2 linked regions of the Stegostoma tigrinum genome follow. The protein of the gene in region 2 interacts with the protein of the main gene of each other region in a pairwise test. Links are inferred from orthologs where the notes say so. Each region holds a gene or a part of one and is shown on either strand. Other genes may lie near its edges. The genes, in order: wwox and lmo3.

Region 1 (15,807 bases), on a different chromosome or scaffold from region 2:
TCTTTTGCAACAAAAAACAACAGTAGGTGATCAAAACAACGTCACCGAAACCAAACACTGCTGAAAATCACAACGGGTCAGGCAGCATCCACAGAGAAACAGCAAGCTAACACTTTCAGCCTAGATGACTCTTCATCATTGTTTCATATTATTTGGGAAACAAACAGGAACTTTCAGCAAGCATCCATGTGCAGCAAAATGCCAATATCCATACATTTTCCCAAAAGGTGTGATGTTCCTTTGCAACCTTTCAGAAAGTGTGTAAAATTAAAACACATAGGATTAGGAGTAGTGTATTGAGATGGACAGAAAACTAGTTGGTAGGTAGCAAACAAAACAGGAGGAACAAGTCAGTCTTTTTCCTAATGGGAGGCAGTCACTAGTGGGGTATGAGGGGGATCAGGGCTAGGTCCCCAGCGATTCACTACATATATTAGCGATTTGGATGAGGGAACTAAATTCTTGAGTAGATTTGCAACTTGGGGTGTGGATGCTGTGGTTGGTTCACTAGCTGAGCTGGTTTGTTAGTTCGCAGACATTTCATTACCCTGCTGGGTAACATCATTAGTGCAGTCTGCGATTAAGCGCTGTGTGTTTCTCCGCCTGGTATTTAAATGCTGGGGTCCGTTGGAGTTGGTTACCTCATTTCTGGTATTTCTTCGCAGTGGTGTATATATAGAGTCCAAACACAAAACACTACAGCGCTTCATCGGTGGCGGCACTAAATGTTGCACAGCAGGGCAATGAAACTTCCGCGAAATAATAAACCAGCTTGCGAGTGAACCAACCACAGAAGGAACTAAAATTCCTAAATTTGCCCATTACAAAGCTAGGAGGGAGGGTGAGCTGTAAGGAGGATGGAGCAATGCTTCAGTGAGATTTGGACAAGCTGAGTGTAGGCAAATGCAGAATAATGTGCATAAATGTGAGGTTATCCACTACAGTAGTAAAAACAGGAAGGTAGATTAATTATCTGAATGCAAATTCCTCTGAATGCAATTTGCAGCCAATGAAATCTGGGTGTCCTCACACACCAGTTGCTGAAGGTAGGTGGGCAGGTGCAGCAGGTGATAAAGGCTGCAAATAATATGTTGACATTCATAGCAAGATGATTCACGAACAGGAGTGGGGATGTTTTGCTGCAATTATACAGGGCCTTGGTGAGCCCACACCTGGAATATTGTGCGCTGTTTTGTATCCTTCTCTGAGAAAGGATGTTATTGTTACACAGCAAACGTAAGAACTAGGATCAGGAGATGGTAATTCAGTCCCTCAAGCACATTTAACCAAGTCTCAAATTCTCAGTAAGCATAACTTTTTCATTTTGTATGCAATAATTCAATTCAAATCAATTTCCTCCAACAGCTGCTCATACAGAATTATCATGATTTTCAATCTTAAGATCTTGGCCAAACCTAATGAAATATACATCTAATCAAAAAACTTAAATGCCACAGATCAGCAGTGAAAAATCCTGCAACTCACTGTACACGAAACTGTCTGCATAGGAAATGGCATCCAGCCCTTTGACTTGATCCAACGCCATTCAATGAGATAATGGGTGATCTGTGGCCTAACTACATATACCTGCCTCTGAAATAGCAAGAACTGCTGATGCTGGAGTCAGAGATAACAAAGTATGCAGCTGGAGGAACACAGCAGGCCAGGCAGCATAGGGGCAGCAAAGCTGACATTTTAGATTGGTCAGCTTTCTTGCTCTTCTGATGCTGCCTGGCCTACTGTGTTCCTCCAGCACAACATTTTGTTACACCTGCCTCTGACCTAGATTCCTTAACAGCTTAACTTAATTCTAAATGTGAAATAGATAAATTGTTATTAACAACTGATCTAACATCAACTGCCGTTTGTGAAAGAGAGCTCCAAATCCCTACCTCTGTGATGCAGAAGTGCTTCTTAACATCTTTCCTAACACTCTGACCCTAATTTTACGCCCCCTAGTTCTAGAATTTCCAACAGAAATCATTTACTTTTATCTACACTATTTTGTTGCTCATATCTTGAAGACTTTAATCAGATCCCTCCATATCTAAATTCTACAGAAAACAAGCCTACTTTGCATGATCTTGCCTCATGACTTAAAACCTGCTGTCTTGAACTTCTTTAATATCAGTCATTACCATCTTGCCCATGTCTTGGGTTTCACAACCCATGAATGTGTAAAAAGAAAATTTGTGCTAAAAGAATCATATAGATTGTTTTAATATTTTAACTTTGTGATTTATAATACGCACCTCCAGCTACACGTTTCTTTTTCCCGGTTTTGGGATGGTCCCATTGGGTCTTCAGCTCAATATGACTGTTGAGTAAAAAGAAAATTGTAAAACTCGTGGCTTAAAATTCTTTGGTGATTTACCTGCAGATCAAAACATAACATTTGTAAACAACCATGAAACAGAAAGACAAACCAACGTAAGGAGCATAACAGAATGAATTCAGTGAAAGCAAAATTGTAAACTATAAAAATGCTACAATGATACTTCAATACAAAAAATTATTTTATTGTATGTTATTTTATACAACTTCATAACCCAAAATTCGATCCTCCGCATCCACACTCGGCGCAAGTGGCTGCCAGTCGACAGCTGAAATACAGAGGCTACTCGTTCTTGCTCTAATGCAACCTTCATTTCCGTACATTACAATGATCCAACTAAACTGGAGGTGGGAGGCACAGATTGAGGTCGGAGGGACTGGAGAAGGGAAACTATGCTGTGTTAATTTGTCATTTTAAAACTTAGCTCAGTTTGACCCTTGGCCACAACACAATCTGATTTTAAATAAATATTAAACGGAATGAGCCACACATGATACTGACACTGGCTGAAAAACCTAGTATCAGAATAATGGGTTACACACTTACAAGTTAGACATTTCTTAACCTAAAAAGGATTTTAAATAACTTCTTCACCCTAGAGGGCTATATGCATGGGTGAATTAATTAAAGTATGAGACTTAAACAGTGGCCTAGGAAGAGTATCCCATGGAAGTAGCACTTACTGGCCGACAATGTTAAAGTGCAGTACAATAATTTGCTATTTTGGAGGACAATACAGCCAACAATAAATGGCTAAAGAAAGAAACAAATAGGGAAACAAATTAATTTTCAAATCAACCTATGATTGTGATATTGTAAGTCGATTTGCTGCACAATGAATCAGTGGATCGTAAGTGACAAAATGGTGAAGACACGGTTTTCTGCAAGAAAGTTAACCAAGTATGGAGGTGGAGACATGAGATTAGTTATCAGCAACAGATGGTGTTATCAAAAATACAACTTCTTTTAAAATTTACTTTGCTAATAATAATGAGAATCATAAATAACAAGTACTTTCCTATGACAAGACTGTGAACCATACTGAAAATCATTTGTTGCATATGAATATCTGAGCCATATTTGCTGGTCTGCTAAACTTGAGCTCTATACTGGAGGTTAAGCATCGCTTCAAAGTTTCATTGGATTTGCAACTCCAACAGACAGATTTTTAATCTACACAGTCTTGCACATAAACAGATTGGGCAAGGAGAGCACTGTAGGAGGTGGAATATTAATGAAATAAAACACAGTAGCTTCGTTGCAGGGCATTTTTGTCAAGACATGAAATCTTTCTACTCTAGCTTCAAACAGAGTCAAAGTTATCCAGCACACAGACAGACCCTTCAGTCCAAGTCAGCCTAAACTCTAGTCCCATTTACTAGGATTTGGCCCATATCCCTGTAAACCTTCCTATTCATGTACCTATCCAGATGCCTTTTGAATGGTGTAATTGTACCAGCCTCCACCACTTCCTCTGGCAAATCATTCCATACATACATCTCGCCAAGTGAAAAAGTTGTCCCTAAGGTCCCTTTCAAGTTTTCCTCCTCTCACCTTAACTGATGCTCTCTAGTTTTGGACTCCCCTACCTTGGGAAAAAGACCTTGGATATTCACCCTATCCATACATCTCGTGATTTAATAAGCTTCTGTATAACATCCGACGCTCCAGGGAAATTAGCCCCAGCCTATTCAGCCTCTCCTTGCAACTTCCAATTCCTGGAAACATCCTTGTAAATTTTTCAAGTCTGTCAATCTTGTGATGATTTCACAAATCCGAATACTAAGGGTAGGAAGAACTGGAGTATTTATAAATAGAAAAACAAGTTTAGAAATAATTATTGGATTTATATCCTGTCAGGTATTTCAGTCCGTTTGAATGACAGCTAATTTTAAAAGCATTCAGAGTATACTGAGGGAACTATTCTTCATTCCAGGAAAAGAGAGTCAATATGATCACAGAATTTTAAAACACCTTTGAACAAACATGAAAATGAAAAACAAGTACGTTACCAAAAGCTCTCATTCACCAAGTAATAAATAACACTCAGTATTTCGATTTTAATTAAAAAAGAACTCATTTGAGCTTCGTGTCTTGACTTCACATATGCATTGATTTAATACAACCAGTTCCTCAGAGTGCACAGTGAAAATCAGTGCCTGGCAAAAGCTCTTTTTGCTAAATTCCATTTTAGAAGCAGTTAGCTCTGGTCGGAGAGCCAAGTGTTTTGGAAACAGACACTTGTTTTGTTTTATCCAAGCAAACATGACAGCAGTCAAAAGTTGAACTACAGCAAGGCAAAGGTAAACCATACTACCTTTGAAAAGGGCAAGGTAAAAATACAAGAGCCTGCTTCTTTTGTTCTTTCCAGTTGAGTTCCTCTCTCCTCCCAAAAGGCAAATGATAGGCACAGAGATACAATTCCACATAGTAGTATGATTTCTGCTGTGGCTATCAGAAATGGCAGCTTTTTGCTCAGCAGTAACAAGAAAGCCCAGGCAATCTGCCGTTACAATTATTAAAAATTCAAAAGCCACACCTCGACTTTCACATACATCTGCACTTCAAAGTCAAATATTCCCATTATGGTGGCAAAGGTAAAAGCTGCTAGATCACAAATTCACATTCAGCCTTAAGAAATTGGATAGAAAGAAGGAAAACTTCTTCCAGGAGATGGATTCCAGGGAGTAGAGAAAAACAGTTAAAATAAAAGCTTAGAAGGGATTGCAAGTTATTGCTTGGACCCAACAGAACAAAAATAATTCAATTCAAGTACTATTTATCTTTCATTGATTTATAGATTTGCTTTCAAGCAATGAAATCGATGTTTGTTTACCTTAAAAACTCTACTCATGGGAAATAGAACAGGCAATGATTAAAAAGTTATTTATGCTTTTTGAGAAGTGATTCTACAAAATCATATTAATAAGATGGCCTCAACCCTAACTTTTTCTTATTTTAAAAGGCAAGTGCTCGGCATTGCATTCCGGTTGTAATTTAATTGGTCAAACTACCAGTGGTGAAGCAAAATGCACTTCATTTATGCACTATAGTTAAAATATAATGAAAGAAAATGAATTGGAATAAGTTTTAACTCTTTGAAAAATTTTAGAGAATAACAGATTATTTAACGACTGAACATTAACTGTTTCAATATAGTAGCATTTCTGGTAAAGGCAAATTCAGTGAGATAGATTGTCTCATGGGCAGCACGGTGGCTCAATGGTTAGAACTGCTGCCTCACAGTGCCAGGAATCCAGGTTCAATTCCACCTTCGTGCAACTCTGTGTGGAGTTTGTACATTCTTACTGCGTCTGCTTGAGTTTCTTCTGGGTACTCCGGTTTCCTCCCACAATCCAAAGATATGCAGGCTAGGTGGATGGGCATGCTAAATTGCCCCGTAGTGATCAGGGACGTTTAGATTAGGAGGGTGAAAGGAGGATAGGTCTGGAAGGGATGCTCTGAGGGTCGATGTGGGCTCATTGGGCCAAAGGGCCTGTTTCCACACTGTAGGAACTCTACGATCTATAAAAAGTGACAACTACTGTACAACCTGACACCCACTGTCCTTACGAATGTTGCATGAGAAATTCTACAGAATTGTTATAGAGCAGGTGGCAGCCAATGGTCCATCACGTCTGCACTTCCAGCTCTCCGAATGAGTATTAAGACTTCCTCCCATTACAACAGTAATAGTAATAATCATAAACCTTCATCCACTGAACCTGCTTCCACCATACTTCCAGGCAGTGCACTCCAGACCCTAACTACACGCAACTGTCAGGCATTCCCTTCTCACAAGGCCAACTTCTTGAAATTTGTGGGAATTCATTAAATTAAAAATTAAATTCAATGAAGTTACAAAACTTTAAACTTTTTTTCTTAAGTATAAGAATCAAGAGAAAGTACTTAGTAAATAGGCAAGGTATTTTCCCAGGGGAGGTGGGGTGTGACAGTTTAAGGTGCAAGGGGAAAGGGGAAGATCTAAAAGGGACCTAAGGGGCAACATTTTCACGCAGAGGGTGGCGCAGGTATTGAATGAGCTGCCACAGGAAGTGGTGGAGGCTCGCTCGATTACAGCATTTAAAAGGCATTTGAATGAGTATATGAATAGGAAGAGTTTAGCAAGCTATGGGCCAAATGGGACAAGATTTGTAGAGGATATGTGGTCAGCAAGGACGAGTTGGACCCAAGACTCTGCCCCTGTGTGGTATATCTCTGCGACTCTTAGACATGAATAAGTTTCAGCAATTTTTAGCTTTGCAGCAGGAGACAGATGCCTTTCTAACAATTTACAAGGGGCCTTTTTTCTCTCCTACCCCCCTTCGTTCCCTTTTTCTCTCTCTACTCTCCACCCCTCCACTTCCTAACCTTACCCCCCACCCAATCATTCCTTCCAGACACCTCCTATCCACCCAACACTCCCCCTCACCACACTGCTTATTCCGCACCCGTCCTCTCTCCCAGCCTTCCACCAACTTCCCACCACCTTTGCCCTCGTCACCCCTCACACCCCCAGCCCTCCATCACTTCTCCTCCCACACCTTTTCTTCTCAGCTCACTCTTTTCTCTCACGCCCTCCCCATCCACCTCCCATCCCTCCTCTTGATCCCCCTCGACTCAGCCCTCACCCTTACTCCTCTCAACCCCTCCTCCTCACGGCACTCACCCTTCCGTTTCCTCTCAGCCCCTGCTCCCATTTCTACCCTTTTCTCTCCGACTCACCTTTCCTCCTCAGTCCTCCCCCTCCTGCACGCCCACATCCTCCCCTTACCCCTCCACCCACCTCACTCCTCTCAGTCCTGACCCTTCATCTCCCACTCCTCAATTCCCTACTACTCCCCTTTATTTTGTTACTGGACTTCGTGATTTCCTTACTTGGCGTAGTAAATCCAGCCGTCTTTTGTGGTCCTCTCCTCCCAGCCAGGAGGCAGTTCATCCTCACTGTCGGTGTCGTCCAGCCCCGCATACTTCAAAGCGGCCATCGTCCTAGCAGGTTCACACCGCAACTGCCAGACTGTTTACCTACCTCACTTCCGCCTCCCCCACCGGAAACAACCGCCATTGCGCATGCTCGCCCGTCACCCTGGCATGCTGGGAGTTGTAGTTTCCTCCACCGGTGTCTAAGATCGGTCTACTCTCAGAAGCCAAATGGTGCAGTTGCTAAAAATCCGACATAAACAGAAAAGTCTGGTGAAATGTTTAACTGAAGAAGCATTTCCTTCAATGCTCATTTTTTTTAACCATAGATTGGGATAAAAGTAAAATACTGCGGTGCTGAAAACCTAACGTTGGTACGAGAGCTGGGAGCTGTAGGAGGCAATTCAGCTCCTCGAGTCTACACCACAATTCATCATGGTGATCTCATATCAGCCTCAACCTCACTTTCCTGCCTGCTCCCCATAACCCTTCAAACCATTACTAATTGAAAATCTGCCTAATTACTTCCTAAACTTACTCAAATGTCTCAACATCTACCATACTCTGGAATACTGAATTCCAAGAATCATCACCTTTGGGAAAAGAAATTCTTCCTTATCTCTGTTTTAAATCTGCTCCACCTTATCCTAAAACTATGATCTGTCATTCAATATCACCCCACAAGAGGAAACATCCCTACTTTGTAAATCTCCTTGAGCATCATATATCTCAATGAGATCTCTTATTCTTCTAAGCTTAACATGTTCAATCTCTCTTCATAGAATCCCTACAGTGTGGCAACAGGCTCCTTGGCCCAACAAGTCCACACTGAACCTCAGAGCATCCCACCCAGACCCATTCCCCAATGACCCACCTAAGCTACACATGCCTGAACACTGGGCAATTTAGCATAGCCAATCCACCCAACCCGCACATCTTTGGAATGAGGGAGGAAACCGGAGCACCCGGAGGAAACGCACGCCAACACAGGGAAAATGTGCAAACTCCACACAGACATCCGAGGCTAGAATCGAATCTTGATTCTGCGAGGCAGTAATGCTAACTGCTGTGACACCCCCTTTTCATAAAATTAACTCCTAATCTCTGGAATATTCTGAGTGAGCAGGAAATGCTGGAGATGGTGTGTATCACTTGCCTAGAATGAAAAGGCAGTAAAAAAATCAGTGATACTTGAAAATGAATGCACCTAAAAACAGAAATTTCTGGAGGAACACAGCAACTCTCGCAGCACCTGTGGACAGAAAACAAAGTTGAGGCCAATAACCTTTCGTCAGAAGTAGTCATACTAGAACACTGTTCTGATGCATACAAGACAAGTTGGATTGTTAAGTTTTACTAATTTTTCCATTTGGGTGGGAAACTAAAAGGTGTTAACCTTTCAGGCCAATGATCTTTCAGTTAATCTTATAAACTTACGATTTATTCACAGATTTCATGGCAATTTCCAAAGGGCCTGACAGCCAATGAAGTATTTTACACACCATTGCTGTTGTACAAAAGGCAATTAGCTATCCTGCAATCAGCAATGTCACAAAACCCAAATCAGTTATTTTTGTATTGATCGAAGAATGAACATTGGCCGGAATATCAGGTATAATTCATCTACCCTTCTTCCAAAAAAAATCTTAGAGATGGTAAGATAACATTCCAAAACATTGACTTGAAAATTACAGAAAACACTATCAAATTCAACTTGTCCCCATAAATCATATACCACTTTGAAATACCTCAGTACAATTATAATAGTCGTTTGATAGAACATAAGTATTGCTGAACAAAAATGTTGTCAAGGCTGGTTATATTGGACTGATCAGGACCATTCACAAGAATAACAATTCAAGGGGAAAACCATCATTTAAACTGTATGAGAGTAGGGTGCTGATTAATTGGCTATTGGATTCTGATTTGTGCATTCATTTCCACGGAGAATGGACCCATTAAAGATGATTGACAGTCCTTCTGGTGATAAGTAAGACTATTACCATCAGATCTTTTGTATGTGTACCATGTCTCATCCCCTCTGCTTATTGTGCTCAACGTGGCAGTGGTCTGGAAGAGACCATTGCCCATCTGCTTGTGGAAAGTGTTTCTCATTGATCTGAAGAGAAATGTATTTTTTCCCCCAAGTATTCATCCCAAGCAGGTCTGTCATGCACACTGACTGCAATTGCAGCTGAATGGCCATCAACTCAGTGAAAGGTAGTCTTTGGCCTGCCGGAAACATGTTGGTCTTCCAGTTTAAAGTATCTTGGAGATTGGCACATTCAAAAGTCTAGTACTCCCACTGAGGGATGCTCTAAAGCTTAAACAGTCACTATTGAGACCAAGATAATAAAATGTGAGGCTGGATGAACACAGCAGGCCAAGCAGCATCTCAGGAGCACAAAAGCTGACGTTTCGGGCCTAGACCCTTCATCAGAGACTCTGATGAAGGGTCTTGGCCCGAAACGTCAGCTTTTGTGCTCCTGAGATGCTGCTTGGCCTGCTGTGTTCATCCAGCCTCACATTTTATTATCTTGGAATTCTCCAGCATCTGCAGTTCCCATTATCTCTGATACTATTGAGACCAGCTCTGATGAAGAGTCATCTAGACTCAAAACGTTACCTTGCTCTGTCTCCATAGATGCTGCCTGACCCGCTGTGATTTCCAGCAATTTTTGCTTTCAGCTGTAGACAATACTGTGGAAAATGTGACAGTTAATGATGACTAATAGTTAACTACCAGGTTTTGTTTAAATTTTAAATCAGGTAGATCAACTCGGATGTACCAATGACATTGCAGTAATAAATAAACCAGAGAATAGCTGTCACCACTTTAGTTGCACTGAAATAGGTACAGTATATGTATATGCTCTTTCTGTCTGTTGAGAACAAGACCCTCTGTATTAGTATATGTAGCATCCAGTCTATGCAAGTGTGGTTACTGGAAGCCCAGCTGACAATCCTAAATTCATTATTAGTATAATTCAAAGCGTACTCAGCATTATGTTGTAAATGTTTTCCAATTACAGAATCACATGTAATGTTGGACACTGTGCTGCACATTTTGGAAGTACAGGCTGTTTGGGGATGATCACTGTCTCACTGCTGCAAACTGCCAAAGAGATTTGCTGTTCGGTACAAGCCACCAGTTTTCCAGAACTACAACATACATACCTAGTATCCAACTCACTGAAATTCATTCCACATTTCTCATTTGTGTGATAAGCAGAATGTCTTTTAGTATTGCGAAAATCTACCTTCACTATTTAATATAAATGTTGGGATTCCTACAGTTCTGTATGTTGTAGATTAGCTTTATTGGCAAACCAACAAATTGGGTTTCTAACAGTCATACCAAACTTGAAATATTAAATCTGTTTCTCTCTCTACAGATGCTGCCAGATCTGCAGGGTTTCTCCTGCAATCGCTGTGTTCGTTTCAAATTTCCAACATCTGCATCATGTTTTTTTCATACAAATGTAGTTTATGAATTTCAGTTCTGTACCGTACATTTAGAAAATAGGTCTGCAGACTACCAAACAAAGTTCAGAAAAAGGGTCTAGGCCCGAAACGTCAGCCTTGCTGCTCCTCTGATGCTGCTTGCCCTGCTGTGTTCATCCAGCTCTACACCTTGTTATCTCAGATTCTCCAGCATCTGCAGTTCCTAGTATCTCTAATGCCCATAATCATTCATTTCAGAGGCTTAATTCACCCAGTGACCCAGAAACAAACATTTCAAAGCATTTTACAGTAGAATTATCAAACAAAATTTGAATCTAAGTAACATATGATTTCAGAACAGATGAGCAAGAGTCTGGTTAAATAGGTCAATTTTAAGGAATATCTTAAAGGAGAAAATAAAAAGAGAGGCGTAGCAATTTGCAGTAGAATTTAGGCCTCAGCAGCTGAATGCATGGTTGTCAGTGGTGAAGTAGTTAAAATCAAGAAACGTCAAAAATCCAAAATTGCAGCTGCACAGAAATTGTGGAGGATTGAAGGGCCAGAACAAATTAGAGACGGAAATGGGTGAGGCTGTGTGGCAATTTGAAAAGAAGGATGAGAATTTTAAAACTGGAATATGGTTCAACAAGGAGCCGATGTGGGTCAGCAAACATGGCGTGATATCTAAAAGGAAGTTAGCGAAAACAGACTTTTGGATGACTTCAGGTTTACAATATTTGGAACGTGGCAGGTTAGGAACGTGATGGAATAGTCAGGATTGGAGATAACAAAGCCATAGATGATGGTTTCAGCAGAAGACGAGCTGTGGCAAGCAGAAAGCATGAGGGGGAAAACCAAATATCAAATACAGTGACTTCAGTCTTTCCATTATTTAGTCCGAAGAAGATTTCTGGTCATCCACTACTGGAAATCAGACAAGCAGTCTGGCAAATTTCAGTAGAGAGATTAAGAGAGGTGGCAGTAAAGTAAAGTTCATCCCTTTACAAGTGGAAAGTAACACTGTGTTTTGGAATGATGTTGCCAAGGGCAATATTCAATTGAGATATAAGATCAACGAAGCAGGCAACGGGTGGTACGGTGGCTCAGTGGTTAGCACTGCAGCCTCACAGCGCCAGGGACCTGAGTTCAATTCCAGCCTTGGGTGACTGTCTGTGTGGAGTTTGCACATTCTCCGCATGTCTGCGTGGGTTTCCTCCGGGTGCTCCGGTTTCCTGCCACAGTCCAAAGATGTGTAGGCTAGGTGGATCAGCCATGCTAAATTGCCCATAGTGTTCAGGGGTGTGTGGGTTATAGAGGGATGGTTTTGCATGGGATGCTCCAAGAGACGGTGTGGACTTGTTGGGCCAAAAGGCTTGTTTCCACACTGTAGGCAATGTAATCTAAAAAAAACCTGATACACAGAACAATCAAAATATTATTGGCACTGTCCCTTTGCCTCAGAAGATGGAGGTGAGGTCATTGAATATTTTAAGGTGCAGACAGATAGATTCTTGTCAAGCAAAGATATAAAAGGTTATCTGGAGTATGTGGCAATGTGGAAATCAGAGCACAAACAGGTCAGACATGATCTTAATGTGTGGCAGGGCAGGCTTGAAGAGCGAAATGGCCTCTTTGTGCTCGTAATTTATACATATGTAACCAAGATGCTACTACTGCCCCCAACGGTTGTTCCTACAAATCTGTTTTGTTTTGTAAAATTCTAAGATAGTCTATTTTGTCTTTTAAGACCGATTTTCAAACAAAGTGCTGATAACAGTTTCCTGTGCCGAGCACATAGTTATAATGTAGACTGCCCTCAGGACCCATGAAGCCAAAAGTAAACAACAGCAGCTTTTCCCATGAACGAAAGTCAAAAATATGGCTTTAATAAGCCCCTAGAGAACAATATCTGAACAACAGGCAGCAACAATTTACCTGGAAGAACAGAAGTGCTCCAGCATAATGATAGAGGAGAGAAAACTTTGCAATAGAGCAATGAGAAAAGCTACAAATTAGATATAAATGCACTGTGCTATGTCTAATCTTCAGGAAAAGGGATATTGGGTTCCATGTGTATTCTCTATCCCTAGCAATACAGCTCAGATTCAATGGGGATATTCAGTACAGTGAGATCTAACTAAAGCACAGCCACCAGTAATGGGCAAAGGCACGGAAAGTATAGGCTAACTCAATAGAAGTTTGGTAAGATAATGAAGCCCTGACAGGATTTAAGTGCAAGAGTGACAAGTGGACAATGACAATGAGGAACCAGATAATTATCAGAGAGAATAGTTGTGATAGCCAACTGGGACTTGATGTGGGGTAAGATAAAATATGGCCGCTGAATGTTAAGCTGAAATTTATGGAGGGTTTTCTACAAAGGCAGAGAATCAGCAGTAAGGTGATGAGTGGCAAGAGCATTGAAGCAGTAGCAGTCATTAAATTGGTGAGTGAAACTGAAAATTTATTGTGTAAAATGAACATAATAAAGGGTAAAACCATAAAATGTAGGAGCAGAGGTATGACCGTGATATCGGAGCAGAGTTAGGCCATTAAGCCAATAGTCTGCTCTGTCATTTGATCGTGGCTGATACATTTCTCCCTGTAATCCTTGACCCTTTTATCAATCAGGAACCCATCTATCTGTCTTAATGACGCTAAATGACTTGACCTCCACAGCCCTCAGCAGCAGTGACTTCCACAGAATAACCACACTCTGGCTGAAGAGATTCCTCTTCATTTCATTTTTAAAGAGGCATTCCCTCTTTCTAAGGCTGAGCCCTCAGGCCCTGTCTCTCCTACAAGTGGAAATATTCTGTGAGTTTCAATCAAATCCCTCCTCATCTTTTAAACTCCATCGAGTACAGACCCAGAGTCCTCAACTGCTCTTCATACAACAAGCCCTTATTCCTCAGGATCATTCTCATGAACCTCGCATACATCCCCTCTAACGTCAGTATATCCTTCCTTAGATCCAGGGCTCAAAACTGCTCAGAATATTCCAAAGGCAACTTGATAAGTGTCTTATACAGCCTCAGCATTATATCCCTGCTCTTGCATTCTAGCCCTCTTGAAATAAATGGTAACATTGCATTTACATTTCTAACTGCTAACTGAACCTGCATGTTAACCTGAAGAGAATCCTGAACTAGGACTCCCAAATCCCTTTATGCTTCAGATTTCTGAAGCTTTAGAAAATACTCTTTGCCTTTATTCCTCTTACCAAAGTTATAAACTCACATTTTCCCTTGTTCTCCGAGACTGTCCATGTCCTTCTGCAGGTTCCCTGCTTCCTCAACACCACCGGTCCCTCCACCTATCTTTGTCTCATTTACAAACTGAGCAAAATGCTTCGGTTCCTTCCTTTAGATCATTAACGTATAACATGAATAGTTCTGGTCCCAACACACACTACTGTCGAACTCCACTTGTCACTGGCTGCTATTCTGAAAAAGACCCCTTTATTCCTACTCTCTGTCTTCTGCCAGTCAGCCACTATCCATGCCAATACCTTGCCTCTAACACCATGGCTCTGTGTTATTTAGTAGCCTCTTGTGCATAAACTCGTCAAAGGCCTTCTGGAAATCCAAATAGATCATGTTCACTGGCTCTACTTTGACTAACCTGCCCATTACCTCTTCAAAGAATTCTAACAGATTTGTCAGGCAGGACCTCCCCTTGATGAAGCTGCGCTGACACAACACAATTTTGTCATGCACTTTCAAGTACTCCACAATCTCATCCTTGAAGTGGCCACAGTCAGAATAACCAGATTTTAGTTTCTTGCCTTCTGCCTCCCTCCCTTTATAAACAGGTGTGATACATTAGCTATTTTCCGATCCTCTTGGACTATCCCTAACTCCAGCGATTCCTGAGAGATCACCACATGCCTCCACATTCTCCTCAGATGTCTCCTTCAGAACTCTAGAGTGTAGCCCATTTGGTCTGAATGATTTATCCACCTTCAGACCTTGAAACTTCCACAGCACCTTCTCCTTAGTGAGAGCTACTTCACTCACCACTGTTCCCCAGCTCTCTTGAAGTTGTGGTACACTGTTGTTGTCTTCCACTGTGAAGACTGATGCAAAGTACCCATTTAGTTCCTCCACTTAAATTGCTTATTACTATTTCTCCAACCTGATATTCCAGTGGTCCAAAATCATTCTTCCCTCTCACAATTTACATATGTCAAAAAAGCTTTTGCAATCTTCTTTAATATTACTAGCTAGCTCACTCTCATATTTCATCTTCTCCCGCCTCATTGCTTTTAATTATCCTCTGCTGATTTTTAAAGGTTTCCCACTAATTTTCAACAGATTGTATGCTTTTTCTTTTGCTTTCATGCTGTCCCTGACTTTCCTTGTCAGCCATGGTTGCCTCACCCTCCCATTAGTGTTTTTTCTTCCTTGGGATGAATTTCTGCTGAGCCTTCTGAATTGCCCTCAGAAACTCCTGCCATTGTAGCTCCACCATCTTCCCTGCTGGGCTCCCCTTCCAATTACCCTGGCCAGCTCCTCCCTCATGTCTTTGTAGTCATCTTTTCTCAGCTGTAATACCATTACAACTGATTTCAGCTTCTCCCTCTTAAAGTGCAGGGTGAATTCTATCATATTATGGTCACTGCCCCCTTGGAGTTCCTTCACCTTAAATTTCCTAATCAAGTCTGCCTCATTACACATCACCAAATGCAGTATTGCCTGTTCCCTAGTGGAACTCTAGGAAGAAAGAACCATCTCATAGATATTCCATGAATTCCTTTACTTGAGATCTGCTACTGACCTGGTTTTTCCAGCTCACCTGGATTTTGAGGTCCCCAATGATTGTTGTAATTAATGCCTTTTTTTAATCTCCTGATTTATTTTCATTCCCACATCCTGACTACTGCTCAGCTTGTACATCGCTCCCATCAGACTTTTTCCCTTTGCGGTTTCTCAATTCTCCCACACAGATTAGATGCCTTCTGACTATCAATTTAATTTCATTTATTACTAATAAGGCAACCCCAACCCCTCAGCTCATCTGCTAATCCTTCTGATCTGTATCCTTGGATATTTAATTCCCAGTCCTGATCCTATTGCAGCCATGTCTCTATGATACCCAGAATATTG
Region 2 (15,714 bases):
TACTGCCCATCCCTAATTGCCCAGATTCAGAGTCAACCACATTGCTGTGGGTCTTGAGTCGCATGTAGGTCAGGCCAGGTAAGGATGGCAGTTTCCTTCTCTAAAAGGACATTAGTGAACCAGAGATAATGGGAACTGCAGATGCCGGAGAATCCAAGATAACAAAATGTGAGGCTGGATGAACACAGCAGGCCAAGCAGCATCTCAGGAGCACAAAAGCTGACGTTTCGGGCCTAGACCCTTCATCAGAGAGCCAGATGGGGTTTTTCATCTGACAATCAACAATGGACTCATGGTCATCAGTAAATTCTTAATTCCAGATATTTATTGAATTCAAATTCCACCATCTGTCGTGGTGGGATTTGAACCTGGGTGCCCGGTTGTTATCTGTGGTCTCTGGATTTACAGTCTAGTGATAATACCACTAGGCCATTGTCTCCCCTTAAAATACTTCAGATACAATGCCAGAGGCATTAAAACTGGATGACACCAGCCAGTGTTGAGCATTTCTGTCTTGCTCACAATGAGATTCTCAATGAAACATTTGACTTGTTAATTTCTGAGGGTGGAGGTAGAAGATCAAATTGGCCCAGCCATGGCACAGTTGGCACCATGAAACTCAACTACCTCTACACTTAAATGGCAAACAGGAAATTTCAGCCCTTGAGGTCTGAAATTCAGTGAAGGCTGAAGTAAGATTCCATAAGTTGAAAAATGGGGAGGAAAGGACACTAGATCTGTAAAGCAGTTAGATTTAACTTTGTAGGCAGGAGGCAAGTATATTAAAAATTACAACAAAATTGCTGCACTTGTTAATATAGCACGCAGCTAAGCAGGTGATTGGGGTAATTTGAGTAATTAATTGACTAGGTAGATATAAAACTGGGGTTGGTGTGTGGAAGGAGCTGTAAGACTGAGTAGCTAATAAACTGCATCCTCAAAGACAGGTGTCTTAGCTTTGGTCTTACAGATCAGCTTGGCTCCGGTTTGACAGCACTGTTTCAGAGAAATAATAACAAGAACGTAATAAACAGGATTTTTTTATTGTTCAGTGGGATGTGCAAGGTAAGCAATTGTTGCTCATATGTGTTTATCCTTGAACAGAATGACTAGCTGTGCCAATTCAGACGGCTGTTAAGAATTAGAGATAACAAATTGTGAAGCTGGATGAACACAGCAGGCCAAGCAGCATCTTAGGAGCACAAAAGCTGACATTTCGAGCCTAGACCCTTCATCAGAAAAGAGGGATGGGGAGAGGGTTCTGACATAAATAGGGAGAGACGTGGAGGCGGATGGATAGAGGGGAAGATCGGTGGAGGGGAGACAGACAAGTTAAAGGGGTGGGAATGGAACCTGTAGAGGTGGGTGTAGGTGGGGAGGTAGGGAGGGGATAGGTCAGTCTGGGGAAGATGGACAGGTCAAGGGGGCCAGATGAGGTTAGTAGGTAGGCAATGGGGGTGCGGCTTGAGGTGGAAGGAGGGGATAGGTGAGAGGAAAAACAGGTTAGGGAGGCGGGGACGAGCTGGGCTTGTTATGGGATGCAGTGGGGGAGGGGGAGATTTTGAAGGTTGTGAAGTCCACATTGATACCATTGGGCTGCAGGGTTCCCAATCGGAATATGAGTTCCTGTTTCTGCAACCTTCGGCTGGCATCATTGTGGCACTGCAGGAGGCCTAGGATGGACATGTTGTCTAAGGAGTAATTAACTATGTTGCTGTGGGTCAGGAATAACATGTAGACCAGCCAGGAAAGGATGGAAACTTTCTATTCCTCAAACGATGTTAGTGAACCAGATGAGTGTTTACATGCACACCATTGATGAGATTAGCTTTGATTTCCAGATTAATTGACTACATTCAAATTCCATTATCTGCCCCCAGAGCATTAACCAGGACCTCTAGTTTACTGATCCAGTGGCATTACCACCAGGGCACCATCCCTCTCCTGATATGAGAAATATTATGCCACACATGGCAAGAAAGAGAATGGGTTGCAGAAAGCAACTTTGATGGAGTATTCATCATGGAACAATGCTCACTGTTATGACAATTAAAAGAATGCTGGCATAGGCTGGCTAAAGACACCACGTGTAAAAGGGAACTGGTTCATAAAACTGGCAATAAAAGTCGGTAATGTTGCTATAGTCTAGAGGACCATAGGGCTGCTCTCTCATTACAGAGAGATGACTGATGATGGCTTAACCTGAGGATCACCACACCTCAGGTGAGGGGAAAGATTGAGAAGAAGCGTCCAACATTGTGACCTCGGCTTGTATGTGAATTCAACGCATGCTATTAGTGCCACTATGCATTGCAAACCATCCACCCAGAATGCCTCACTCTAGGTTCTGTATATTCCATTGTATCTTTTCTGTGCTCAATTGTAACAAAGCAGGGGCAAGGTCATGGGGAAACAAACTCCTCACAGTATTCAGGTCTCACTTAAATATTTTAATGAAGCTGCCTACCTCAGACACCCCCAGCTTTTATGTTGACCCCCCAGACAGATTTCCTAAGTTAGTAGAAACACAGAAAATTGGAGCGGGGCAGACTAGTTGGCTTTTTGATTCCATTCTGTCATTCAGTATGATCAAGGATGATCAGCCAATTAAGTACATTGTTCCTTCTTTCTCCAGATAGTCTTTGATCCCTTTCGCCCTCAGAACCATATCTGGCTCCTTTTTGAAAACAGTCAATATTTTGTCACAACCACTTTCTGTGGCAGAGAATTCCACAGGCTCAACACTCTCTGGGTGAAGAAATTTCTCCTCACTTCAGTCTTAAATGATCTATCCCATATCCTTAGAACGTGGCCCCTGGTTTTGGACTCCCCAATCATTGCAAACATTCATCCTGCATTTACTTTGTCTAGTCCTGTTTGAATGTTATAGTTTTCAATGAGAAATCACACACCACATTCTTCTAAACTCTAATGAACACAGTCCTAACCAATCCTGTCTCTCTTCAGTCTGAATTCAATTTAAAAAATCTGGAATTGAGAACCTAATGATGACCATGAATCGATTGTCAGGAAAAAACCCATCTGGTTCACTAATGTACTTTAGGGAAAGTAACTGCCATCCTTACCTGGTCTGGCCTACATGTGACTCCAGACTCCCAGCAATGTGGTTGACTCTGAACTGCCCTCTGGACAATAAATACCAGCAACATCTTCATTCTGTTAATGAATAAAATTTTTAAAAATACTTGAATCCTCATGCTATGAAGGCCAAGATACCATTTGCCTTCTTGATTACCCACTGTTCCTGCAGCCTGGAAAACATTAAAGGATCGAAACTTGAGAACTTAGAAAATAGGAATAGGCCATTCACCTCTTTGGGCCTGCTCCACCATTCAATATGATGAGCGCTAGAAATCTGGAAACTAATGGAGGGAAATCTTACTTGCTGAGGAATCAAACTTGTCTTTCCAGGAGGAACAGGAGTGCTCCCCTCCATCATAGAACTCCAGGAAAGCCTGTCTAATGATCCCCCCTTTCAATTAGAGGCCCTCACCCATGATGAAGCTGCCAATGGTCATTGCCCACATCACCCCCTACCCCAGAAATGTGAGCCCAATGTCTCTCTGACCCCTGCCCATTATATTACCCACCATCTCTATGCTGCTCCCTCCTTCTTGTCCTTCCAATGTCTTCCCCGTATGCAGGAAGCCAGCATAATTCTGCAATGCAGTCTCTGTTGCTGTATTCTGAACTTGACAGGGTGCTAAATACTGTATCAGTGATAATGGGAACTGCAGATGCTGGAGAATCCAAGATAATAAAATGTGACGCTGGATGAACACAGCAGGCCCAGCAGCATCTCAGGAGCACAAAAGCTGACATTTCGGGCCTAGACCCTTCATCAGAGAGAAGGGTCTGATGAAGGGTCTAGGCCCGAAACGTCAGCTTTTGTGCTCCTGAGATGCTGCTGGGCCTGCTGTGTTCATCCAGCCTCACATTTTATTATCAGGGAGCTAAATACTGTTGGCCACACTGACTATGGACATGTTTAAAAAAAGAGCTGTCAGATAGTGTTCCTCTCAGAGCTCCTGCCCACTCTTAGAAATTTCAACCCAGCAAACATCAGGTGGTTTGTATTCTTGTGGCTGTTTATATAGTGTGCATGTTTTGAAGATGCCACCCGTTTTGGAGAAGGCAAGGATTTTGCTTGCTGAAATGAGTGTAGCTAGGTTGTGATGATACAAGGCTTCAGACAAGCTCATCGTGGAACATTACACACGAAAATGGTTGAGTGTGGAAACCTTTCTAACATTATCTACGAAGTTAGGTGATGTTGGTCCCCTACTTCTGGCAGGGGCAGGACAATGCAGATCAATAAATGTCCTGAGATAGTAGGAACTGCCAATGCTGGAGAACAGCCCCGACTCGAAATGTCAAGCTTTCCTGCTCCTCTGATGCTGCTCTGCCTGCTGTGTTCATCCAGCTTCACACCGTGTTATCTCAATAAATGTCCTTATAGCTTCTCTCAGATCACCAAGCATAACTCAGTCACTGCATCTGTGCTAACCCAAAATGTGATTCCAAGTCTGCTCATCACCATACCTCCATGATGCGCAGGGAGTCTATTTACTTTGCATTGACCTTGAGCAGTTGTGCATTGCACATTTCCTAAGCCTCTTTGTACCTGAGTTGACCTCTTCTCCTCTTGCAACATTCCCGGCAGTCTTAGAACCTTGAAGCATACCTCCACATTATTCATTTCTCTTGTTGAAGTGGTGAAACTTTGAAATGTTTCTCTCTGTTATGTTCACTATAACCAGGAGGATTATATTCAGTCTTTGACAATCCTGCACAAAGGCTACATGGGTTCACCCACAATTACATTAAGGAGCCCTTAACAAACCATAACATTTAATTGCCCCTAATATTCTTAGTAAAAACCAAAAGAACTGCAGATGCTGTAAATCAGAAACAAAGACATAAATTACTGGAAAAGCTCAGCAGGTCTGACAGCTTCTGTGAAGAGAAACCAGAGTTAACATTTTAGGTTGAGTGACCCTTCCTCAGAGCCCTTCCTAATATTCTTAGAGTGCCTTGAACCCTCAGACCGGCAATAAATACAGACAAGTGTTCACTTTTGGCAAAGTACTGCTGCATTAGTGTGTATAGAATTTGTTTCCCTCATCTCGAAAATTCATTCCACCAATTTTGTGATGTGATGTGACCTTTGACTCCCTCGAGACCATCAAAGTTCCTTTGGCAAATTCTTTGTTTCAGAGGAGAAGTGCACAGTAAACCTTATCCATTAGTTAAAGGATTGTCAAAGCCAATCCACAATTCTACAGTACAGGAAATTTCTACCCTTTTAAGTGCAAAACCATAGTATTACCATTTCCCAAAGTGCTCTCTGTTTTAGGCTGCTTTCCTAATTAGCAGGATGATAACAGCGTTGCTGATTGGCATTATAAAAGCAGTAGTTTGGCTTCATCTGTCCCAGGTGTGCAGTATTTTTCCCTCACTGTTTCAGAGCAGCACCTCTCTCCTTCATTGCTCCTTAAAGTTCCTATCTGAGGAATTAAAACAGATTTTGAAAAAAGACATTAAAACAGAATTTCCCCTGCCACGGCTGATCATTAGTAGCTTTTATCAAAAAGTACAAACCATACAAAGTTAGTTTCTCTTCCCCTTTGTTATCAGAGTAGAATAAAAAGGAAGCAAAGGGGGAGAGGAAAAAAAGACGGAGCTCTGTCAGTGAACTGAATGTGCTATTAAATCTGGCGTCACTACAAAGGTTAGCAGATCTAACTGTCAATACTATGAGCGAGTGGAGTCCAGTAAGGGGGGCTTTGTGAGAAAGAGATACTTTGATATTTTGGAATGTTAGAAGGGTGAATGTGAAAAATTGGAGGTTGGGGATCTAATTACCCAACCGTAATTGGGGGCTGGGGAATAAGTTTCAGTCCTCTCAACTCACCACAGATCAATTATGTTAAGAGAACATCTGTAAGTAGAACTTAATGAGGTCCATTAGAGCAACATGTACAGCCTCCTCTAACAGTACTTGTCAGCTTCTTGGATGAGCTGAAGGAAGCTGCTAACTAGGGACCTGGTGAGGTGCTTAAATACTGGAGGAAAAGAAGCTGGCCCACTCAGGTTTTGTGCTCAGCTTGAGAAGAGAGAGACAGGTGGCCCTTTCATCCCTGCTGTCGCGGTTAGAAGGAACAACTAACTGGTTCTGCCATCATCCCCATGAAAAGAAATTTGCTCTCTCTCTGTCTTCCCCGGAATCAGAGTTTTATTTTCAGAAGAGGAAGAAACAGCCTAACACTTAATTCTTGCCTCAACAACACTGTTTAGTGTTTCTATTTGTGAATATAGGATTTCTGTTTGATCTCCTTTTGAGGAAAAGGAAAGAACTCAAAACAACGCATTAGTGCAAAGCAGTTTTTTAAAAAAGTGAAAACTTGACGGATCTTTTTCTTTGAAACCTGCTCAGCAGTGGTTTGAAATAAGGTGAGTTCTATCTATTACAGTCTTCTGTGTTGAATTTGATTTTAAAGGGTGCTTGTGAAATAGGGGATAAACTGCCTTAGTTGATGAATGGAAAGGTTGCAATATATTTTTGAGAATCAGTTTGGGCTGGAACATTTTTTTTAAATATAAGAAATAGCTACTTTGTTTTAGTTCTTTTTAAAAGGGGTTTCTTGAGAGTTTTCAATTTAGCACTTAATTTGCCCACAGTGAAAGAAAATGCTCGCCTACATTAAAACTCCCTTCTGGCTTGACAGAGGGAGTAAATGCAAAAATTTATGTTTGAAAATGAAAAGAAGGGAGGATTTTGTGGAGATTATGAATTAGTGTTTGTTTTTTTAATATGTGAATATCAATTGATGATTAAATTCCACCTCTTGTTCACCAAATCACTGTGCGTGTGTGTCCCCTAGTATTTCATTGCTAGTCATCACTGCTGATCACATCTGTGCAATGCACTAAGTGGTGGGCCTCTTCAACTGTATGGTTTGTGATGATTCTGTGAATAATTCATATGATTATGAAGAGAGGGGGGAAATGCTATTTTCTGTCTCTTCTGACTTAAAAAATTCCCTGAAAATTGCACGATTGGGAAGATAGTCCGCATTCAAATAATTTAATTCATGACAAAACCTAATTACTGTCAGGTAATACCCTGTCAGTTTTAATGCATTTCATCAGTCATAATGAAAAGAGGAGCATTTTATGACCCATCTTATTATCATTACATTTTGTGTAGTGGGTGGGGGTGGGAATGAGAGAAATGAGTAGCATGGAGCTGAATGTTAACTATTGATTCCTATGTGTTTTCTCTTCAAATGAAGTTGGGGCGTATTATTCACCTCCGAGGAGGTAAAAGTACAATATAGAACCGGGGTTTTGGACAGTTTCTCAGACGCGTGAGAAAATGGTTAAACGTCTGCAACTCGCTGGTGCTATTAAGAATCTATTGCTACAGTCTAAATAGAGTACTAATTACTGGGAAATGATGTCACTGTAGGCAGAAGAATAATCCTATCATTTAATTAGTTGAATGATTTAAACAAAGATTTGCATAGATGCCCTAATCATTTGCCATGAATTACAGAGCAGTCCTTGCAAACGAGGGATAGCAGATCATACAGATTTTTAAAAAAAAACTCATCTCCTTGAACATAATTAATTTAATTGTCCTCATTAGCTGTTCTATTTGTTTTGATTTTGTCTCACTCGCTGCTCTGTATGTGTGCATGTATTGGCTAACAAAAGGCGTTGATATCTCATAGTTGTAAAGGGCTAAACAGTAGAGAAGGTTTTTTTGTGAAACGGGGAGGGGGAACCACAACTCGGCTCTACTACACTTTTTTTGTGAAACGGTTAAATCAATAAGAAAGCTCTCATTAATCCGCAGTCTCTGAAACTGGACGCACTCAAGAGGTTGGTTTTCTAGCTTTTTTTATACACACCCCTCCCTGAGAACGGCTTGTGTGTGTGTGTGTGGTTCTGACTAACCAAAAGCTTGCGGCTGTTCCTAAATTTTCACCATGGGGAAATTAGCCATTGAGACAGGATTCATCCCAGGGCTATAGCTGGACTTGGGTCGACAGCAGAGTGTGTGCGTGTGGTAATATCGAAGTCTGGGGGAGCGCTGCCGTGTGCCTTGTCGAGTGTGTGTGTGCGCGTCTGTGTGTGTGTGTGGCGGCAGCCGCGCTACCTCGCTAATAATTGAATGACCTTTTACTGCATTGTGTGTCTCGCTGGCGAAGGATTGAATTTGCAGATGATGAGGCTGAATTCGTTTAGGACAATTCTTATAAGCTGATAGGTAAGTTGTCCTCCATCATTCGTCGCAGGGAAAGGTTACACTGCAGATACCCAGACGGAACACCTGTAGCTCCGTTGTGATCAACTCGATTACTGGCAGTTCCTTGGGGATCTCATTATCTTTAAAACTTTCTTTTAACGATTCAAGTGCATTCCGTGTGTTGACCTTGCGTTGGAAGAAAGTACACGCTGTATTCTGAACATATTTTGGAGAGGGTTTCTTTTTCATGTTGAATAGAGACGGTAAGTGGAAAGAGTATCCCTCTGGCTATTTCCCGGCTACTCTGGGCTGTGTTTTGCTTTTGTAGAGTGTGCGTTTTATATTTCTGAATGATTTGAACTTTCTGCGTTGTCACTGCGCCCTTCTGTAGGGGACTTATTTGTTTTTTTGAGGCTAAGGTAAGTTTCCTCTGGTTAGATATTTTCTGGGATTCTTGTTAATGGAAAAAAAATACAAAAAGTTTTTTTTTTGTGTGGGGGAGCTCTTGCCACTGCAAGGGGGGGGGGGTTACAAGTAAATTCCTTCCCCCACCCCCTACCAAAAAAGTGTGGGGCTGTCATTCCGCATTCACACTAACTGCCTCGAAGTGTCAGGCTGATGATTGGAAACGTGCGGTACGTTTGTAAAGCGTGTGTCTTTGTCGGTGTCAACAATGACCTGGCTCGGTGTACTCGCTCATCGTCGCCAGTTCACCCTGACGGGGAAGGAACCGGCTCTTCCAGCAAGAAACTGCTAGAGACCTGGTCACCCTACCAAGCACCCCCCCCCTCCCCCTCTTCTAAAAAAAAACGTACACACACCGATGCAAAAAAGGGGAGGAAAGTTATTTTATGGTAAGGCGGCGAACGTGATTCTCGATGCTATTGTATGTGTGTGTGTCTGCGATTCTGCACAAAGCCGAGTTCTTCAGAGGTTTGTGGAATAAGAATCTCTCTGCCTTTTCCACCTATACAAGCAGCGTGACGCCTTCTGTGACTTGCATGATTTTTTATTTTAGTGCTTTCTGAAGGATTCCTTTTTTCTGTCAAAAGTGTTGTCATCTGTAAATGGCTCTCTTCGCATTATTCAAACCATTCTTCTCGCGGGGTAGAGAAAGGGGGGGAGAAAAAGACATTAAATTGAGCATGTTAGCGATGAGAGTGGGCTTTTCTCTTTACTGTGTGTTTTGTATGCTGGCTGCATCAGAAATTGGGGTGGCCGTCGCAAAATCTCATTGGCCTTTGCCAAGCACCAGCACTTTGCTGCCATGGAAACTGTAATTAAACTGATAAGAGTGGAAAAATGTCAGTATCTCTTCAGCCTTACAGCTACATCTAAGAAGGGAGTGGGAATCAAATTGGTTCCGAGCTCCAGTTCTTTATAAAGAAATAGCTTTTTTTAAAAAAAGCCTGAACTGGGGACATTTATTTGCATTGTAATTCCGGAGGGTGGTTATCCGCAGGGGCGCTCTGGACCCATTGAACCAGGAGCGAGAGAGAAAGAAACGGCTTTAAGATTGATTCCAACGTTTATTATTCACCCACCCCTCAAAAATCTTTTGTTTGCCATCCATCAATGATATAATGAAACAGTGTTGGCAAAATTCTCTCCTTCTCATTTACCACCTTTTTTTTATTAAGCGGGACCAAAAACTTCCAATTTGCCAAATCTTTCCCTCAGTCTCTGTGTCTGTCTCTCTCTCTCTCTCTCTCTCTCTCTCTCTGCCCTCCCCTCCCCAGGGACAAATGAGTTAAGGATCGGTTTAGGAATCTGTTCTCTTTTTAAAACAAAACAATGGAGCGCAACATATTCCACGGAAGTGAAAGTCTTACTAATCTTGAGCATGGTAATGAGTTAGTCCCTGCTCCTCCCCTCTGGTCTAGCTCGGTTTTGTTTTTTTTGGCGGGGGGGAAGAGAATTAAGTGCCATTAGGGTAAAAGAGCAGAAGAAGGTGATGGTGAGGTCTGTTTACAATAAAATCTTAGCAATTGGAGTGAGCGCTATTTAAATGGACTGAGATCATTAAGAAATGTAAACACTGTGGACCATGCCCAAACTCTCACTTCTAAATCTAGGTTTCCATCAAATGGATGTGTATGTCTGAGAAGCTATCGAAAATTAAAGGCAGTAATTGCTGTTTTGATCTAAAAATTCTCTTCCCTTTTTTAAAAAAGAGGCTTTTTTAATTCCTCCAATATAATGGACTTTTGGTACTATTGAGATCTGTGTGAACTGGGGAGGATATTTCCAACTGTGGGCACACGAGGTTAGTCCATTAAACCACCAAATGGTACCAAAAACAAAATCGTTTCAACTTAAGTGAACTGACCAGTACTTGGGTGGAAGGGGCGCTATCTTCAGCTGTATCATCAGGCTGCGGAACTGGGCTCGGGGCGGTGTGAAATGGAGAAAGTTTGACTTGTTGGAAATACCATTTGATTGTAAATAACGGATTAAAGTCTCGTTGCTGGCTCTGAGAGGAGGTTGTTTGCGTCTCCTGGTCTGCCATATGGATGTGCATCATCTCTTCCACCAGGGAAGGGTGACACTGTCCAGTTACCATCGCATATAACCAGGCGCTGCCGCTTCTCAACAAGCCTCCCCAGCCTGAACACCGGAGACGGCAGTTGGAGCAGTAATGTTGTCATTTTTTGTCGCACTTCACACAGCCCAGCTAGAAACTGAGTACTCATGATTTAGCTTAACGCGAGCAACCGAATACTGTGCAGGAATAGGACACAGTCATTCACTGACCTGGTGGTGTTGTGTTGGTTTTTTTTGTGTGTCCTGCTCTTCTCATTCCCCTCCCCACTTTTCCTTTCTGTAGGTATACAAATGCTCTCAGCTCAGCCAGACACCAAGCCGAAGGGTTGTGCTGGCTGCAACCGGAAGATTAAAGACCGTTACCTCCTGAAGGCGCTGGATAAGTACTGGCATGAGGACTGTCTGAAATGTGCCTGCTGTGACTGCCGCCTGGGAGAGGTGGGCTCAACTCTGTACACCAAGGCGAACCTCATCCTCTGTCGCAGAGACTACCTGAGGTAGGGCTAGCGAGGGGGTTTGGTGGTTGGGGGGGGGGGGGGGGAGAGCTGAGACAGGGGAAACTTTCACGGCCGAGCTGGCCAATTTTTAAGCGTGTATTTCATTATTTACTATTCCAAGAACAAAAAAATAAATGTTTTGTCAGCATGGTGCAAAGAGTTTGTGGAATGATGTTGAGGTATTTGTCCGGGGGGTGGGGGGCGGTGGATGACCTTTTGATGCAGTCAAAACGCGCGGCCTTGGACACTCTCTCGCTGGGTGAGGAAAGTCTTTGATATGTCGCCTGTTTGTGTGCGTCTCCCCTCCTTTTAGAACCAACTCTGGTTAATAGGGACCACAGATGTGCATTTCTACATATACTGACCTCAATCTGTCCTGCACATGCCCACCCCCACTGCAACATTTTTTTAAAAATGAATTAATATAGAGTCCATTTGCGGGAGCGTTCATGAGCATAGTCTGTGGGGAGTGACGGCTTTTCGGTCTTTGGCAATTGCGAAGTTATGTGAGGGAGTTTAAAATGTGCACCGCAGCTTTTGGTTTTCAGTTTATTTGCCTTGAAGGAATTGTAGGTCACCGCTCCTCTCGGTGCTTTATCTGCAGTCTTACGTCTGTGTTTTTTTTTCTCTCTCCCCCTGCCACTCAGTAACCTTGACCATTTTGGAACACTTTTTTTTAGAAAACTGATCTTCATTTTGCAAAGACACCAAAAGAAATTGCTGCATTAGGTCCCTGGTAGCTGAACCCTGCAAGCTGCAGCGCCGCCCTCTAGTGGACGTTGGGTTGGCATGCTATGAGGAAAACCCGGCAGCAAGAGAATGTTTTGAGTTGGGTCATTAGTTTGCCAATGGTCCACCATTCGTACTATGGTGATGTTCTCTGGTACTCCCTATACTGAAGTGCAGAGTGCTGTTTTTCCTTGATTTTGGGCATGGGGGAATATGTGGAACGATTATTACTCAAATGACTTATAACCACCCCCATGTTGTGGCATCCTGTGTTAACAATACATTTTAATTGTAAGGCATATTTGTGTAAACTCAGCCTGTGTTTCTAAAACACAAGTAAGTCATCAAAAAGCAGTCGGAAATATTACATGCCCTGTTATTGCTTTCATTAGTTATTTTTCCTGATGCCTTTTGATTTTTAAAACAACTTGGTGAACATATTTTAAAGATGCCAGTGTCTTTAGTTGGTGGAGTAATTTGCCTATAGATTGGACACCTGATTTCATTGCAGTTCAACCTGTTTGCAAGTTTCCCTGTTTCAGAAGCAAAGTTGGTCTCTTCCCTTTTTTTTTGCACCTAAACTTCTGGTGGGGTGAGAGGCCTGAGTCGACTCGGGCACCTAATAAGTGTAGGTCTGCTGTGGTTCAAAGATGTTATTCCCACAATTGCTGCTGAAACTATTTTCCTATAAAGTTGAGAATTTTCCAATTGCATCTTTTGGCTTTAACTGTGGGTAGAATTGTTGTGGCAGACAGTAGTTAAGGGAAGCATGTAATTCTTCAAGGGATCTACAAAAACTAAGTCGGGTATTGCAACATGATGAAGGAAAGGCCACTTCAATTCATCTAATCCATGCTTGTACCAAATTGCCTATTACTGTTAATTGTTTAACTTCAATAGTGAGAAATAACTGCTTTAATCCTGAATCTCTGGGAGTGTACATGTGACTGAACGTCTCTAGTAACGGGCCCTCATTGTACAATCTTTTTCCCATGGCTTTGAATTTTATGTTGCTAAGGTTGTTGTGATGTGACTCAAACAAGTCGGGAAATTCGAGGTGATCAATCTTAGATGGATCACAAGTTAGGAGACCAATGATTTTAAGCTTGGTTAATGACAAATATTACAAGATGAAGACATAGAGATACATCTTCAAGGTAAAACTGGGTAGATCCTATTTCAACTAGTGTTAAAAACAATTGCTCTGAATGGTTTGGAGACACTTTTCTTAACAGTTAACCTGCACATGGCTTTTTCAGTCCAAAAGCAGATTCATTAATCAAGTTCAAGGTTGAGTATTGGCTCAGGATCTAAATATTAACTATAGATATGTTGTCTTCTGGTAATGTTTGTCATTAACCAAGCTTAAAATCATTGGTCTCCTAATTTGTAATCTGTCTAAAATTGATCACCTTGAATTTGCTGTATATATGAAGCTAGCAATGGGGGGGGGGGGGGGGTAGGAAAAGCAACACTTTATACTGTCTGGAACCCTTTTACAATCCTCAGTATCATCTATGTATTTAGGGTTTACCTTTGAAATTTGAATGCTCCATGTTCTCCAGCTCAAATTTAGCCTCAAACGCTGAATTTTACTGATCCACGTTCTGTTGCGAGTATAGTGAATTTGCAGAATTCTTTACCACAGAGAGCAGTTGAGGCTTGGTTGTTAATTACATTGATGGCTGAGAGATTGTTAATGAATAAGTGAACCAAGGTTTATGGGGAAAAGGCAGGAAACCGGAGTTGAGAAATTTCAAATCCATTGGGCTGATTTCTCCCCCCCCCCCCCCCCCCAATCCCCCCACCTCCTGTTCCTCCATCCTACAGTCTTGTCTACAGGTGCTACCATTCAAATCTTTTAAGAAAGCTTTAATATTGTGTATAGTTCTGGTCACTTTGCTATAGAAAGGATATTATTAAACTGAAAAGGATGCAGGAAAGATTCACAAGGATGTTACTGTGGCCAGAGTTGTATGGAAAAGCTGGATAGACTGGGACTTCTATCACTGGAGCATATGAGGCTGAGGGGTGACCTTTATCGAGGTTTATAAAATCTCAATATGAATAATCAAAGTCTTTTCCCAGGGTAGGCAAGCCCAAATCTGGAGGGCATTGGTTTAAGGTGAAAGGGGAAACATATTTAAAAGGGACCTGAGGGGCAACTTTTTTTTGACCAGGCATGGTGCATATATGGAATGAGCTGCAGAGGAAGTGGTGGAGGCTGGCACAGTTACATAATTATAGGATTCCTACAGTTTGGATGCAGGCCGTTCAGCCCACAAAAGACCCCCACTCCCCCCTCAGTCCCTGCATTTCCTACCTTAGACTTTGTGTGGGCAATTTAGCATGGCCAGTCCACCTAACCTGCACATCTTTGGACTGTGGGAGAAAACCACACTACTGAGGAAAGTTACGCAGATGCAGGGAGAATGTACAAACTCTGAACAGGCAGTCACCTGAGGCTGGAATCAAACGCAGGTCCCTGGCGCTGTGAGGCAGCAGTGCTAACCACTGAGACACTGCTGCCCAAACAACATTTAAAAGGCATTTGGACAATCACACGAATAGGAAAGACTTAGAGGGATTTGGGCCAAACACAGGCAAATGGAACTACTTTAGTTTGGGGAAACCTGGTCAGCGTGGATGAGTTGGACCTAAGGGTCTGTTCCCGTGTTGTGTGACTCAAACCTGAGACACTCAATCCCTACTATGGATTGAAGGGCTGATTTGCTATTTTTTATTTCCACCTTTCCCTGGACCAGATATCAGATTAGCTTTGTAAAACCTATGTGGCTCCTACCATGTAGCTACGTACGAACTAGAAGAATATTTTTTCTCTCGGGTCAGGTACAGCACAACCTGTGCCTGAATGGAATATGTTAACTGGAGTTGACCCAGTTCCAGTCCATGCAAGTAGTTGATGTAGTTTTGCTCTAGTAATTAAAGCTACATGCTAGAAATTGCAGAGAATGGGGATTTTATTTATTGGCTGTATTTTTGTGAATGCGTAAATTGGGCAGACTAATGTATTTCACACTTATTTAGGATTGCTTAACGTAATTTATGGTCAAATGCTGACTGAAGCAAAAAGTAGTGAAGTTCAGTTTTATTTTCACCAAATGGTAAATATTGTATTCGACCTGTCCTTGTGTTCTGCAGCATATTGTGCTGTAAACTATAAATATTCACTGCAGACTTTGTATTGTGAAGACATCCCACATAACCTGCCAAATTTCCAAATTGGAATGTTTGCTTTCAAAATGGATGCCCGTTATTCGAGGTCATGCATGAATGTTCTATAGTGATCAATTTTGCATAATTGATTTGAACTTTGATATATGGGCTTAATTTGTTCCTAATTTTTAATGAGCTTTCTTGTTCAACGCCACTCCTGAATTTAAAACTAATATTTTAAATGGCCTTTATTTCTACTGGTGAGAAGTATAGCAAGGGCCATATGGCCGGTGATTGGAATCTCGTGTAAGATTTTAGAATTTTGTCAGTAAATGTGCTTTTTTGTTGACTTTTGTCACAAATTTTCTCTTCTCGCAATACGTCATTTAGTAATGCTTTGTTGCAAAGTGCACTTGATTAAACACACCTGATATTTCAAGTAAATTCACTGCAGTATAAAAATTTACCTTGGAAAGACAAAAGGAAATGTTT

What was found.
Region 1: the proteins of lmo3 (region 2) and wwox interact in binary tests that used the Homo sapiens proteins (3 or more experiments, as listed by UniProt). The link is inferred for Stegostoma tigrinum from reciprocal best matches to the Homo sapiens genes LMO3 and WWOX.

What each region holds. Positions count from the first base shown.
Region 1 is NC_081369.1:54,058,062-54,073,868, reverse strand, and holds the start of wwox (WW domain-containing oxidoreductase), read right to left. Parts: upstream 7,369-15,807; 5' UTR 7,321-7,368; coding exon 7,214-7,320; intron 2,318-7,213; coding exon 2,253-2,317; intron 1-2,252. UniProt on the Homo sapiens protein: Putative oxidoreductase. Acts as a tumor suppressor and plays a role in apoptosis. Required for normal bone development. May function synergistically with p53/TP53 to control genotoxic stress-induced cell death.
Region 2 is NC_081378.1:43,076,192-43,091,905, reverse strand, and holds the start of lmo3 (LIM domain only protein 3), read left to right. Parts: upstream 1-7,263; 5' UTR 7,264-7,274; coding exon 7,275-7,344; intron 7,345-7,555; exon of another isoform or gene 7,556-7,908; intron 7,909-7,972; exon of another isoform or gene 7,973-8,296; intron 8,297-8,329; exon of another isoform or gene 8,330-8,522; coding exon of another isoform or gene 8,523-8,538; intron 8,539-8,899; exon of another isoform or gene 8,900-9,098; coding exon of another isoform or gene 9,099-9,129; exon of another isoform or gene 9,130-9,153; coding exon of another isoform or gene 9,154-9,208; intron 9,209-10,099; exon of another isoform or gene 10,100-10,121; intron 10,122-10,347; exon of another isoform or gene 10,348-10,541; intron 10,542-10,796; exon of another isoform or gene 10,797-10,910; intron 10,911-11,102; coding exon 11,103-11,316; intron 11,317-15,714.